Macaca mulatta: one gene and its partner. The protein of the gene in region 2 purifies or fractionates together with the protein of the main gene of each other region. This does not show direct contact. Links are inferred from orthologs where the notes say so. Each region holds a gene or a part of one and is shown on either strand. Other genes may lie near its edges.

What was found.
Region 1: the proteins of SMAD1 (region 2) and SKI purify together in Homo sapiens (affinity purification with western blotting, with the first as the bait; 3 studies listed by BioGRID). This does not show direct contact. The link is inferred for Macaca mulatta from reciprocal best matches to the Homo sapiens genes SMAD1 and SKI.

What each region holds. Positions count from the first base shown.
Region 1 is NC_133406.1:238,373,577-238,377,391, forward strand, and holds part of SKI (ski oncogene), read right to left. Parts: intron 3,198-3,815; coding exon 3,072-3,197; intron 2,890-3,071; coding exon 2,774-2,889; intron 2,325-2,773; coding exon 2,056-2,324; intron 1,868-2,055; coding exon 1,575-1,867; intron 147-1,574; coding exon 1-146. UniProt on the Homo sapiens protein: May play a role in terminal differentiation of skeletal muscle cells but not in the determination of cells to the myogenic lineage. Functions as a repressor of TGF-beta signaling.
Region 2 is NC_133410.1:154,118,837-154,122,651, reverse strand, and holds part of SMAD1 (mothers against decapentaplegic homolog 1), read right to left. Parts: intron 3,380-3,815; coding exon 3,158-3,379; intron 1-3,157. UniProt on the Homo sapiens protein: Transcriptional modulator that plays a role in various cellular processes, including embryonic development, cell differentiation, and tissue homeostasis.

The DNA of each region.
Region 1 (3,815 bases), on a different chromosome or scaffold from region 2:
TTCAGGCGCAGCCGGGACTCGTTGGCCTCTTTCATCTTCTTCTCGTTCTCCGCGCGGAGGCGCTCGATCTCCTTCCGCAGGTTCCGCTTGGCCTCGGTGGCCTCCCGCAGCTTCTCCTTCTTGGCCACGCGCAGGAACTCCAGCTCCTGGGGGCCAGGGACGGCTCAGGGTCACTTCCCAGCCGGTCCCAGCGCCGCCCCCCAACCATGGCCAGCAGCCCCCAGCCCGCCCCGTGGGGTCAACCATCTGGCAATGTGCCCTCGAGCCCCGCCCCCAGTGCCCCATCTGTGCCCAACTCGTGTGGTGCCCCCACCCCACAAAGGCTTTTCAGACCCCCATCCTGAGTTTCTGCCAGGCCTGCGGCAGCTGTGCTGCACCTGGGGGCCTGAGTCAGTCACACTTGAGGCTGCAGCAGGGCCCTCCCCTGACATCCAGGGCCATGTTCCCCTTGAGGGCAGCCAGCCAAGTAGGCCCCGGCTCCCACCAATGTGAGGAGGGCAGCCTCAGACGTCGCACCATCTGAGGGCCCTGGGTCTCCCCACGCGGCCAGATGGAGACATCCATCCACTGGGCGCCTCCACAAGCCCCCCGCCTCCCCATGAAAATATCCGTGTGACTCACACCCCACGCTGCAAACACCACATGAATATGCATGTGGGAAATCACACCTCCAACCAGAATCAAGGACAACAGTGGCGGGGGACGCGCTGGGGCGAGGGACTGGCACGCGCAAGGGGGCACGTCGACAACCCTGCAGCTCTGAGGGCCGACGGGGTTGTGTTGTGCTAAAGCCCACGCCGCGGAAGCTGCCAGACACCGCTGAGGTGTGAATTTAGCGAGGCTGGGGCCGGGTGAAGGCCGGGCCACCCGCACACCTCTCCCCGCAGGCAGCCCTGCCTGTGAACTGCGCCTCCCTCAGTCAAGTCAGAAAGAAACCTAAACAACGTAAAAGGAGGCGCGAGACCGGAGCTGCAGCGTGAGAACCGTGAGGCAGAGCCCAGAGAAGCAGCATGTGCAGGTGGGGTGTGCGCGCGGGCCGAGCCCTCTCCTTCCTACTTGGGAGGCCTGGCAGGAGCCGCCTCCTGGAATACCAGGCTTTAGGAAGCACACCCCTCACGCCTGTTTTGCAGAAGCCAGGTCTTGCTGGCGGAGCGCGTGAACACCCACTCCTGGAGCACACAGAGCAAGGAACTGTCTCCGTGCAGCTGCTCCCGACTCTTTCTGCCACTAAAAATAGCCCGGCCTTCTTTATACCAGAGGAACACGGCTACTTCCTTCGTGGGGCCACCACACAGGGTGTGTGATCCTGATGGGGAAAGCTGTGGTCAAGCCAAATGCAGGGGCCTCCTGGGATGTCCATCGGCCTGGGGACACTGAGGGGCTCACCATACCCAGAGCTGCAGCTTTCGGGAGACGGACCCCCAAGGTCCCAGGCAGGCCCACTGAGGTGGAGGCGGAGAGGAGCACATGGCGCAGCCAGGAAGGGAGGAGGCATCACCTGTGCCCGTTCACCTAGTGGAGGCTGTGCTCACCGCCCGCGCCCTGGACCTCCTAGCGCCACCCGCCCTGCTCACCTGGTGGAGGCTGCGCTTGGCCTGCAGGGCTGCGCTGAGCTTCTCCTCCTGCTTCACGCGCATCTTGACCACCTCATGCAGGAACTTCTCTTTGGCTTCCTTGGTGTCCAGGCCGCCCTCCAGCGCCTGCCGCAGGTGCTCCAGCTCCGCCTCCAGCCCACTGGGGGTGTCGGCAGGGGCCGCGGCATCAGGGACGGCCGGGGGCAGGGCACGCGCGCCCGGGGAGCCCAGGTCCTTGGCGGAGCTGGATGAGGTAAAGGACGGGGAAGAGAGCGAGGACAAGGAGGAGGTGACTGAGGAGGAAGCAGAGACAGAAACGAAGTCACGGAAGTGCCCGGCAGCTCCACATCAGGGAGACGCGCCGCTCCCAGAGGAACCTGCGAAACACGGGGCCGCCGAAGCACCCCCAGGCAACCAACCCCCTCAGCCGGTGCCACGCCCACAGCCCACGGCCCACAGGTAGGCACAGAAAGCGACTCACACGTACATTCCTCCCTGCTTTCAACTTCCACCTCGGCCTCCGAGTCCTTGTCCTCCTCTGGGGCAGCCACGGGTGCCAACGTCTCTGGGGCTCCTGGGGTGTCCACAGTCAGCTTCCGCTTCCGAGGCTGGGTGCAAGTGGCGAGAGGCTCGGGGGCCCGGGAGACGGCAGCAGTACATGGAGGGCTGCTCACAACCTTCTGCTGGGCCGGCGGTGCGAGGGCCACGTTGGGGGCCACGGCTGTCTCAAAGCTCTTGTAGGAGTAGAAGCTGGAGAGGCAAACGGGTGTCGGGAAGGTACCTCTGTCCCCAAGAGCCACCCAGACCCATCGTGGCACACACCCGCTCTGAAGGTGTTACAGAGGAAAGACTTTCTCTCCCAGCTCTGATTCTTAAAGTCAAGCTTTCAGTTCCTAAGAACCCATAAGTATTTTCTACTTGCTGGGTATCTCGCACAGGCCAGACACAGGCCGACCACCACATCAAGAGGCTGCGCCCAGCAGACAGGGCTCCACCCACGACTCCACCCAGAACACAGGGAACGCTCTAGGTGTGCTCACCATCATGACGCCAGCCAAAGGAACCAACACTGAGACTGCCCTGACCAAAAGGCGGCAGGTCTGGGCACCCAGCCTGCAGAAACATGGGCGCGTCCGCGTGCACAGCCCTCGTGGGGCCTCCCCCGTGGCCAGAAACACCTGTGAATGGTGCCCACTCACCTGTCTCGGATGAGGGCCGGGAGGTGTGGGGAGAGCTCCTTCTCACTCGCTGACACCGCGGGGGACCAGGGTCGGAAAGCAGAGAGGCGCTGGCGAGGGTGAACACAGCCCAAGCTCTGTCGAGAGAGTCGTCTGTGTGAGTGACCAGGAGAAAAGCCACTTCACGTCCCCGAGGCTGTGCCGGGTGCCAGCCCTCAGTGGGGGGCAGACAGAGCCGCCAGCCGCTGGGTCTGCCCAAGGAGAAGGGCCCAGTACCCACCACCCACCACCCCAAGGACCCTGACAGGCCCCACAGCACCTTATTGGAAGAGCCGGCCAAGGTCCGCAGCCAGCTGGACGGCTTGTCCTTTTCGGAAGGCGCGGGGGACTGGGAAGAGGTGTCATCTGTTTTGGGTCTTATGGAGGCCGGGGGCTCAGAGGAAACCTGCGATCAATGAAAGGACTTGTTGGCACATCTGGTTCCCAGGGCATGGTCCCTCCACCACCCTGTGGCCAGCGTGGCAGTCACAGCCCCAGGCACTCTGGCCATGAAGGACCCTGAGTGGTGCCCAGGGCATGGTCCCTCCACCAGCCCGTGGCCAGCGTGGCAGTCACAGCCCCAGGCACTCTGGCCATGAAGGACCCTGAGTGGTGCAGAAGGCAGATTCCATGGCACCCCCCAGGAGGCTGAGTCCACTTTGCATAAAGGCCCTTGGGTCACGCGCAACAGGTGCATGGAGGCTGTGCTGAGGAACAGGTCATCTCCGACAGAACAAAGCGGACCCTGTCCTGCCATTCCGGGTGACCTCACCCACGGCTGCAGCAGGTTTCAGATGGAGAACCAAGACCCCTTCCACAGCAGCTCAGCCTGGCCCGGAGTCCCTCGTCCTTCTCCTGCCAAACCCCTTTCCAAGAACCCGAGTGTGTTCTCAGAGGGTGCCCATGCTGGGCACTCAGCTCAAACAGCCACAGCGCGGTGAGAGCCACTCACGACAGATGCGTCTGGGAAGGGCAGCTGTGGCACGGGTGGTTCGTGAGAAGGGGACACTGTGTCCCTGTGGGC
Region 2 (3,815 bases):
AAGAATCTATCCTGAGAATATTGTCAATCACACATATCATCTACACATAATAATCTGGCCTTATTTCCATTATCTATAATTGTATATTTGAGTACACTATTCAGGGCATCTGGAACAATTTTAAATAACAGCATTCCAAGAATCCTTATTTTCTTAATAATGTTTTAGGAGGAAATGTCCCATAGTACAATTTTTTTTTTTTTTGCTACTTTGGGATAAGAGTCATCTTTAGAATTTAATGAAAAGTATGTCCTTTCCTCCCAAATGTATGCAAAATGTTGTTTATATACAATTTCAGAGGTTTACAGACCAGAGACAGATACCTATGTATGTTATGAACCTAGGTTCTAGCATTTCATTATTAAATTTATAGTCAGAGTTTTTTCCTTTAGTTATATAAGAAAGTATCTACCAATTCCTGATTTAAGAGTTGGAGTTTTCTTCCCGCAGGATTAAATGTTACACTTTATCTTGAGTGCTTTTAAAGCATCTAATAAATAACCTTTTAATCTGGTCCACTGTTCTAAATTTCACAGGTCACTGTTTCATACTTTTACCCCGGAAATAATTTCAGATTTGTAGAAAAGTTTGAAAGGGAACACAGAAAAACAGAACAAAGAATACCCGTATAACCATTATCCAGATGCATCTATTGTGACAATTTACTCCATTTGCTTGATCGCTTGGGCCCTCTCTCCCCACTGCTGCTGCACACGCACCATGCATGTGTGTGTGTGTCTGTCTGTCTGTATGTATTGTAACACAGGTTTTAGGTAGATAGATGGTGAGTGGACAGGTATCTTTATATACTAATTTATTCCTGAACCACTTCCTTACTTAAGTATTTCCTAAGAATAGGGATTGTCTCTTATATAGCCATAGTATAGTTGGCAATGCTAATACATTTAACATTGGTCTAATCCACCATTCATATTTCGGTTTTGCCTGCTGACCTCAACAATGTCCTTTACAACATTAATATTTTTCTCCGGTTCAGTACAGGATCATATCCAGGGCTAGATACTGCATGCAGGTGTCATATCTCTTTAACTACTTTTAATCTGGAACATTTCCATACCTTTGTCTTTTGACACTGATATCTTGGAAAAATTAGTCCCCCTTCTTCACCCTTTTTAATAGAATGTTTTGAGTCTGTCTGATATTTCCTCAGGATTAGATTAGGATTTGCATTCTCAGCTGGAATCCTGCGTAGGTGATGTTATGGCCTTCTCAGGGTATGACATCTGGAGGTAAATGATACCCATCTGTCTCTCATTGGTGATGATAATTTTGATCTCCCAGTCAAAACTGGGCATCCATCAATTATACAATTACAATTAAAATACAAACGATACAGTTTCTCCACTGTTTAGTTAATGCTTTTTATTCTCCCTCATACTAAAAGGCAGTTTGAGGGTAAACACTCTTAAGACCATGCAAATATACTGATTCTCATACACATTTTCTTTATATTTAGCATCCATTGATGATTCTTGCCTGATCATTACTATGATGGTTGCAAAATGATGATATTCGAACTTTAGCACTCACTCTGTATTTATCAACCAGCCTTCCCCATTCACTTATTTATCTATTTATTATGAGTATGGACTTACGAATTCATATGGTTTTTCAATGGTGTAAAATTCAATGCCATACTGAGGCCAGGCACAGTGGCTCACAACCTGTAATTCCAGAACTTTGGGAGGCCAAGGCAGGCTGATCATTTGAGGTTAGGAGTTCGAGACCAGCCTAGCCAATAAGGTAAAACTCAACGACTCTACTAAATATACAAAAATTAGCCGAGCATGGTGGTGCACACCTGTAATCTCCCAGTTACTGAGGAGGCTGAGACACAAGAATCACTCGAACCTGGGAGGTGGAGGTTGCAGTGAGCCAAGATCACACCACTGGACTCCAGCCTGGGTGATAGGGGGAGACTCCATTTCAAAAAAATATAAATAAATAAAATGAAGTAAAATTCTGTAATTTTACTTCATACTGTAATTATTTGGGGGCTCAAATTGTCTGAGAGTTGGCTCCTGAGGCATGCCCCATGATTTCCATCAGCATTTCTTTACTTTCTGCCATAACAGATGCTCTAGGGTCCTCCTGTGCCTACCTATCCCAGCCTAGGGGTCAGCCATTTCTTCAAGGAGCCCTAGCTCCTTTTAGTGGGACACAGTATTAGTGATGATGATCTGAACACTAGACATGCTTATTGCTACTGGGTATGGAAGCTTCTGGGCCCTTTCAGCAGGCAGATCAGAAACCATACGCACGTAAAAACGCATATACATACGCATACACACGCACATATGTAATACATGAGAACATAAACATACATACACACACACATATAAGTATTATTAAAATCAGAATTTTGCATTGATACCTCTATTCTCCTTCATAGGGTTTAGTTTTTGCTCCCCCCTGCATTTATATGTCTGTCTTCCACAGTGGAAACCCAGGCTCCCAACAATATCCACACATTTAGTCATTTGCTTCATCTTTACATATGAAAGTTTCAGAATGGTTTCACTCATACTGCTATGAAATAATCAAGTTTACTAAAAAGAATTTGGGATTTATTTGAAATCCTACCCCTACTCTATCTATTCCACTCAGCCTAGGCTGAGGATATGGACAGTTGTTCTTATATGGACAGTTTCTTATATGGACAGTTGTTCAATTTGGTGTCCCTGTGAAGGTACATTCACTGCAGGGTTCTATTGTGCCACCTTGCACGATGTTTGTGCTAGAATCTAGTTCTTTCTTTTCTATTTACTGAGTTATGGTATTCATCTGAAATACAATTAAGCAATTAATTTAATTTGCTTTTAATTTTAGGTTGTAATTCATTTTTTAACAGCCAATTTATTCTGTAGCAAAATATCATACAGAATAGTGTCTTAAAATGGCAAATCATAATTTCAAGTAATTAATTTCAATATTATGAGAGTTGATCGACCACAAAAATCACTGACTGCAAGAGCTTCTAGATAGCAGAAACTGGAAAAATATTTACAAACTGCAGCAAGTGAACATTACCTGGTCTTTGCTACACTAGTTTGTTACAGGAATGATTTTAAGTCAGCTCTGGAGGAACAGGGACACAACAGATAAACATCCGAAAGAGGTTAAAGCAAAAACTCACCTTTTCCAATATGCCGCCTGGTGTTTTCAATAGTGGAATTCCGGTTAACATTGGAGAGCAGCCCAAGGCAGAAACGGTTCTTATTGTTGGAAGGATCAGTGAAACCATCCACCAACACACTTGTGGAGGAGGCATGGAAAGCTTCACCCACACGATTGTTGAGCTCATAGTAGACAATAGAGCACCAGTGTTTTGGTTCCTCATAAGCAACTGCCTGAACATCTATAGAAAGAAAACATTATATCAACCAAGGTTAGTGCCTCAGGCTCTCAAAAACTGAAACCGTGTGGTTGAATTGGCTCAGGATCATGGAATGAAGACATTGGAAAAGCAATTGCTATTATAATGTATGCAGTTTTTCTATGATGTTTAAAGCAGGTACTTCTTAACTAAATATGACATTCTCCTTACTCTAATTGGAGAAAATTGGAAAACCATTTTCTCCAGTTACTATCAGATAACCAAAACGCCAGCTAAGGAAGCACAGCAAAAGCTTTTGTTGAATATTAACAATATGCTAATTGCTTTGTAATATGCAGAAATGGAAATCACCCCTACCACAGACTTTGGCTCACCATCTAAAGAAACACAACAAGTGACAAGTGAAAAAATAAGTGGGAAGAGAACAATAGAAGATAGGAAATATGCCAAAGGTATT